Mus musculus: one gene and its partner. The protein of the gene in region 1 interacts with the protein of each later gene in a biochemical or structural test. Links are inferred from orthologs where the notes say so. Each region holds a gene or a part of one and is shown on either strand. Other genes may lie near its edges.

Region 1 (3,821 bases):
TCAATGAGTTTTTATGAAACTCAACTAACCAGCTGGAGCAACACTGAAAATCAGAGTTTAACACTGTACAATCCAAAGACACACTGTGACAAGAGACATCTTAATGTTTTTTTTTAAATTGTTTAAAATTATACTGTTATGTTCCTGTAAGAGCAGAAATCCTAAGGCACACATACCACACACACCAGTTTCACACCATTAAAGAATCCTCAGTCTGATTGATTGGGTTTAGGGTACCATCTGCTGGTACTACGCAGCCTGGCGATATGCACAGTGCACAGTAAGCATGATGTTGTGTGTCAGGAACAAAGGCTGCAGAGGAATCCTCAGACACAGCACAGGAGAGGGCTCTCAGAATGCCTCGGGTTTGTCATACTTTTTATTGTGGATTCATTTTTATCAGTGTCCCTTCAGGGACCCTTTACTGTTGCTAAAATCTTGGAAGACGCTCATATTCTGTTGCACTGTGTTCCTAAAGGATTACAGTTCACAGTATAAACGCTGTGGCTGGAAACACTCAAGACGTACTTAAAAATTACTTTCTGTTTATTTCAAGTAAGAGCACAGGAGTGCTTCTGTGCCTTTTGAAGAACCTTTGGGAGAATCAGGTTCAGTCTACCAACCCCAAAAACAGTTGCTCTCATTATCCGAGCCTTCATGTAGCTGTACTGATTAAAATAAGCCCCAGCAGGAATTAAAGGTATTTTGTTGCTTAAAAATCTACCTACCTTTCCTTTGAATTTTAAATTAACCACGTAAAGGATATACAGGCTGAATTTAAAATTATAATATTTTCTAGGCAAGGACTTTGAAACTTTTCTTGTCCTAAAAACAAATATCTCAGGGCCAAGGAGATGGCAGAGTGGGCAAAGGGCTTGGTTCTCAAACCTGAGGATTCAAGTTCAGATCCCCAACCCAGAACTAGGGCTAAGGATGTACCAGGAGACAGAGACAGGCAGATACCTATCTGTCTAGTCAAAAAGGTTAGCACTAGGTTCAGTGAATTACCCTATCTCAACAAATAAGATGAACAAGCAGTACAAGTAGATACCCGAGATTAACCTCTACATGCACACACACACACACACACACACACACACACACACACACACACACACACACATTGGTATAATAAGATGACCCTGAAACTTACCCATCAAAGCAATGGGCAGCTGTCAGTACCCATTGGCGACCAATGATGGACCCTCCACACAAATGGGTCTGAGATACCAGCTTCACTTGCAGGCTGACCTGCCATGGCCACTCCCCTAAAGAAGCGTTTGTTCCTCCCACAATACGTGCATTTATTTTTGTTGTACAGTCTGAAAAGTGTTGAGATGTGGCAGGATTAGACACAGATAAGCATTCTTTCCCTTTATCCAAGGAAACTGTCTTAGTTAGGGTTTCACGGCTGTGAACAGACACCATGACCAAGGACAAGTTTTAATTGGGGCTGGCTTACAGGTTTCAGAGGTTCAGTCCACTATCATCAAGGTGGGAACATGGCAGCATGCAGGCAGACTTGGTTCAGGAGGAGCTGAGAATTCTACACCTTAATCTGAAGGCTGCTAGCAGAATACTGACTTCCAGACAGCTAGGATGAGGGTCTTAAAGCCCACACCCACAGTGACACACCTACTCCAACAGGGTCACACCTTCTGATAGTGCCACTCCCATATACAAACCATAACAGAAACCATATAAACAATCCCATCACATAAGACCAAGACATTAATCACAACAGCCAAGCCAGCCATGCAGTTCCGTAACAAACGAACCTCACTCACCAGGGCTGTCCACAAGTTTACACAATCTCAGAGAATAACCGGAGCTCCCCTGCATGCCATAGGTGATCCTAGTTGGGGAGCCATCTGTGGATAACCTTAAGGAACATTTACACCTGGAAATAAATGAACAGTCTAAAATTAAACCCCCACACAGGGAGAAAACTAGAAAACAATTACCTTGCTGATCATCAAAGAAAGGTTTCCTTACCCCTCCTCCTTGCAGTCTTGGGGGAGTAAGGAGTAAATAAAAAACTGGCAGCGGATTGTCTTTGTACAAGTCTCTTGGCAGACATCTGCTCCTTGCACGAAGGTCACATTCAGTTCTTCCCCTTCAAAGTCAACTCCAGAGTAAATTTTGGAATGGCAGGGTTCTGCACCATACACAAATATCAAAGGATATATCACAAGTCAGGAAACGAGTCACATTGGCAAAGTTTCTAGAGTCGTGAGAACCATTTCATTAACTCTTAGAGGACCCCAAGATGTGCTGCACCATGTGGCTGTTAGTGTTTGTCAACTTGATACAAAATAGAGTCACCTGAAAAGATGGACCATCAGTCTGAGAATCGTCTTCCTCAGACTAACTTATAGGCATGTCTGTGGGATGTTCTTTGGATTAATGATGGATGGAAGAGGGTCCGTCTAACCAGGTCAGTGTCAATTCTGGGCAGGTAGCATGAATATATATATATATATATATATATTCACAGAAGCAAGCTAAGAAGCAACATTTCTCCATGGTCTCTGCCCAGTCCCTGCCTCTGCTTCTGCTTGAGTTTCTAGCCTGACTTCCCTCAGGAATCAGCTATGACTGGGACATGTGAACAAAACAAACTCCTTTCTCTCCCAACTTGCTTTTGGTCATAGTATTTATCAAGCAACCAAGAACCAAACCCGGACACATGCCATGTGCCACTAAGATTGAGTCATTACCAGGGCGAGTTTTTCTGCAGGTGAGGAGACTATATCCAGATATAGCGTTTTCTTGAGGAATAGGGGGACTTGGTCTTCCACTTTTAGACGTCTTAAGAAAACAAACATTTCTATTAAAAATAAATGAGAAAGAAGAAGAAGACAGCATTAGAAGCACTAGACAGACCTACCTTCCTTCCTTCCTTTCTTTCTTTCTTTCTTTCTTTCTTTCTTTCTTTCTTTCTTTCTTTCTTTCTTTCTCTTTCTCTTTCTCTCTCTCTCTCTCTCTCTCTCTCCTTCCTTCTTTCCTTCCTTCCTTCCTTCCTTCCTTCCTTCCTTCCTTCCTTCCTTCCTTCCTTCCTTCCTTCCTCTCTAAGCAACTCCATAAATGGTATTCTTCTGAGAAATTATTTTCAGTCAGTCAGACTGCAAGACTCCAAAAATATCACAGGGCTTAAATGTAAGTAGAGTCACCTCTCCCTCTGGCAAAAAATACCTGGTAGGTACAGACATCCAGAAAAGAGGACAGAGGATTAAAGTCCACCTTCTAATTAGAAAAAGGAAAAAGAGAAGGCATCAAAAGACTGTTGGTTTGGATTTATGCTACCCATGGTATTATGTCCACACACATCCTTCTGCAGGCCCCACGGCGTACATAAAGGAAATGCTGTGTAAAGATGAAGAGGTCAGACTAGACCCTAGATCTGGATAAGCAGGGCTCTGGTTTCTCACAAGATTAAAGGACAGTTTGCATGAGCAGCTGTAACCCAAGCCAATCCCAAACCTTAATGCCAGTGAGAATGCTTCCTGCTCCCTTCTGCCTCTGCCGCTGTGGTTTGACTAAATAGTAGGCTTGTTTTATGGAAGGGAAGAATTTGTTAATCTGTGAAGTAACCTGCACCTGGCTGAAAAGCATCCGGTTAAACCACAGGCTCCAGCGCTGTTAGGGCAACGAGCAAGACCCTCGCAAGGAACGGAAAGGGCTAGAAGGGGGCGCACGCCGCTCACACTCACCTCTGTGATTCTGTCTCCCATTCATTCGTGTAGAACGTGAAGAAAAGGCAGTTGGGATGGAAGGTGCAGATGGTGCGACACACAAAGGCATCGGGGGTGATGACCTGG
Region 2 (3,821 bases), on another chromosome or scaffold:
CCTCTGGTGGAATCACCATGCCTGACCTAAAGCTGTAGTACAGAGCAATTGTGATAAAAAACTGCATGATACTGGTATAGCAACAGACAAGTAGACCAATGGAATAGAATTGAAGACCCAGAAATGAATCCACACACCTATGGTCACTTGATCTTTGACAAGGGAGCAAAAACCATCCGATGGAAAAGAGACAGCATCTTCAATAAATGGTGCTGGCATAACTGGTGGTTATCATGTAGAAGAATGCGAATTGATCCATTCCTATCTCCTTGGACTAAGGTCAAATCTAAGTGTTTTAAGGAACTCCACATAAAACCAGAGACACTGAAACTTACTGAGGAGAAAGTAGGGAAAACCCTCGAAAATATGGGCACAGGAGAAAAATTCCTGAATAGAACAGTAATGGCTTGTGCTATAAGATCAAGAATCAACAAATGGGACCTCATAAAACTGCAAAGCTTCTGTAAGGCAAAAGACACTGTCAATAAGACAAAAAGGCCACCAACAGATTGGGAAAGGATCTTTACCTATCCTAAATCATATAGGGGACTAATATCCAATATATATATAAAGAACTCAAGAAGGTGGACTCTAGTAAATCAAATAACCCCATTAAAAAATGGAGCTCAGAGCTAAACAAATAATTCTCACCCGAGGAATACTGAATGGCTGAGAAGCACCTGAAAAAATGTTCAGCATCCTTAATCATCAGAGAAATGCAAATCAAAACAACCCTGAGATTCAATCTCACACTAGTCAGAATGGATAAGATCAAAACTTCAGGTGACAGCAGATGCTGGCAAGGATGTGGAGAAAGAGGAACACTCCTCTATTGTTGGTGGGATTGCAAGCTTGTACAACCACTCTGGAAATCAGTCTGGCGGTTCCTCAGAAAACTGGATATAGTACTACCGGAGGATTCTGCAATACCTCTCCTGGGCATATATCCAGAAGATGTTCCAACCGGTAAGAAGGACACATGCTCCACTATGTTCATAGCAGCCTTATTTATAATAGCCAGAAGCTGGAAAGAACCCAGATGCCCCTCAACAGAGGAATGGATACAGAAAATATGGTTTTACACAATGGAGTACTACTCAGCTATTAAAAAGAAGGATTTTATGAAATTCCTAGGCAAATGATGGAGCTGGAGGGTATCATCCTGAGTGAGGTAACCCAATCACAAAGGAACTCACACAATATGTACTCACTGATAAGTGGATATTAGCCCAGAAACTTAGGATACCCAAGATATAGGATACAATTTGCTAAACGCATGAAATTCAAGAAGAATGAAGACCAAAGTGTGGACACTTTGCCCCTTCTTAGAATTGGGAACAAAACACCCATGGAAGGAGTTACAGAGACAAAGCTTTGAGCTGTGTCAAAAGGATGGACCCTCTAGAGCCTGCCATATCCAGGGTTCCATCCCATAATCAGCCTCCAAACGCTGACACCATTGCATATACTAGAAAGATTTTGCTGAAAGGACCCAGATATACCTGTGTCTTGTGAGACTATGCAGGGGCCTAGCAAACACAGAAGTGTATGCTCACAGTCAGCCTTTGGATGGATCACAGGGCTCCCAATGGAGGAGCTAGAGAAAGTAGCCAAGGAGCTAAAGGGATCTGCAACCCTATAGGTAGAACAACATTATGAACTAACCAGTACCCCGGAGCTCTTGACTCTAGCTGCATATGTATCAAAATATGGCCTAGTCGGCCATCACTGGAAAGAGAGGCCCATTGGACTTGCAAACTTTATATGCCCCAGTACAGGGGAACGGCAGGGCCAAAAAGTGGAGGGGGTGGGTAGAGGAGTGGGTGGGAGGGTATGGGGGGACTTTTGGGATAGCATTGGAAATGTAAATGAGGAAAATACCTAATTAAAAAAAATAAACACATAATAAAGAAAAAAAAAGTAATGATGCCCTAGGCACATTGATTCTTAAAAAGACGATGCAGAGTGTTGCCTCTCAGATTTGAATCATGTGTGGACCCCTTGACGACTGTTTTAAAGTGCATTTTGGTATTCATTTAACTATGGAAGGGGAGTGAATCCATGTTTCTTCAATACTTCAATGCAAGTACTTCAGTGCACAGTACTTCAATACTTCAGTACTTTAATGCACAGAGCAGAACCCAGCACACAGTAGTGCTAAGGACTCGGGTGTATCTTGGAGTCGTGTGGCTCGTGATAGTGCCCTGGTCTTCTCCTCACTACCAGGCAGGGAACGCTGACAATGAGCTAAGTGACTGAATGGTTACCTGTTTTCTTTCCCAGCCATAAAACACAAGATCAGCATAGATATGTACAACTTCTTACGGGTTTAAAAGAGCAGCCCCTCCCCCAGTTATTTCAGTAATGATTCATGTTCAATATTGCTTTTTGGAATAGACAGAACTGACCCCAAGCTGACAATACTCCAATCCTACCTTATCTAATGCTTGGCATTTCACAGTCGGGATGACTTTGTTCTCCCAAGGTCTCATGTACACGTTAGCATTGCAGTCGAGACTTTGCTAATCATGAAAACAGAAGACAAGAGAAAATAAATCAGCATTAGTCATGAGGCCCATGAGCAAGTGACCTTAGAGTGTCACACAGGGACAGTGCTACTCACTCCAAGGTGCTTGATCTCACAATCTTCTGTCAGCTCTGTGTTACTTTCCTTGGAACATTTGGTTTCTCTGGCTATGAACTCAATAACATAATTAGTTCCTGCTACCACCTGTAAAGTTAATAGTACAAGACAAATATTTAATGAGGATTTCCATAACAAATTGCACTTTTTTACTTCAGTGTGGTCAAAGTTAGAATCTGGAAATTTTAAATATTTCCTGACCATCTTAGAAAGTTACACTGTCCTTGTAGTGTGACTACAAGTACAAAATTCTCTACAAGGTGCACATATCTGATACAACGTTTTGTTTGTATGTATATCTAAGATTTCTGGGTATTAGTTGGGTCAGCTTACTTCACTGAGTAAAAGAAATACAGGGTAACCTTTCACTTTAATATTCACGTACTAATTTAAAAGTTCATAAGCTATAAACCACACCTACCAAGTAACTCAAGGGCTTAAATTTTACTACAATCTGAGGTATGAGAAGAAACACTTAAAATATTTTCTTGAAATATTTTTTGTTGTCTCTCTGCTAAATACTGAATCAGAAAATCCGTGTGTAGTTTAAATTATCCAGTTAGGAAAATATTTAGATTATCTATTACTTTTCATATATTTTTAAGATTAAGTAACCTCTTAAATCTTTAAACAAACCAGTTGTTGGTGGAACATGCCTGTAATCCCAGCACTGGGGAGGCAGAGGAAGGTAGATCTTTGTGAGTTCATGGCCAGCCTGGTCTAGAGAGTGAATTTCAAGTCAGTCTGGACTGTATAGTGAGATACTTTCTAAAAAAATTTTTCAAAAGTAGTTAGGAACATATCTAACCAAATGATTCAAAGACTATTACAATAAAATTCTCTACAGTAAAACGTCTACATATAGGCAAAGGAAATTACAGAAGATACTAGACAATGGAAATATTATGCATGGTCCTGGATAGGCAAAATTAATAGTGTGAAAATGTTTGTACTACCACAATTAATATACAGAATTAATGCAATACCTATAAAAATTCCCATGTCATATGTCATAGGCTTAGAAAAAATACATGAATTTATATGAAACCACAAAAGACCAAATGGCCAAATCCGTCCTAAGGAGTAAGACAATGCTGAAGGTATTATAGTACTTGACCTCAAATTATACTATAGAGCCATAGTGACAGAGACAGCCTGCGACTGGCGCAAAAACAGA

The links.
Region 2: the proteins of Klkb1 (region 1) and Kng2 form a complex in vitro, tested with the Homo sapiens proteins (4 studies listed by BioGRID). The link is inferred for Mus musculus from reciprocal best matches to the Homo sapiens genes KLKB1 and KNG1.

Annotation. Positions count from the first base shown.
Region 1 is NC_000074.6:45,274,255-45,278,075, forward strand, and holds part of Klkb1 (plasma kallikrein preproprotein), read right to left. Parts: coding exon 3,714-3,821; intron 2,831-3,713; coding exon 2,721-2,830; intron 2,159-2,720; coding exon 1,996-2,158; intron 1,901-1,995; coding exon 1,788-1,900; intron 1,323-1,787; coding exon 1,154-1,322; intron 1-1,153. UniProt on the Homo sapiens protein: Participates in the surface-dependent activation of blood coagulation. Activates, in a reciprocal reaction, coagulation factor XII/F12 after binding to negatively charged surfaces.
Region 2 is NC_000082.6:22,994,588-22,998,408, forward strand, and holds part of Kng2 (kininogen 2 isoform 2 precursor), read right to left. Parts: intron 2,732-3,821; coding exon 2,624-2,731; intron 2,523-2,623; coding exon 2,436-2,522; intron 1-2,435. UniProt on the Homo sapiens protein: Kininogens are inhibitors of thiol proteases.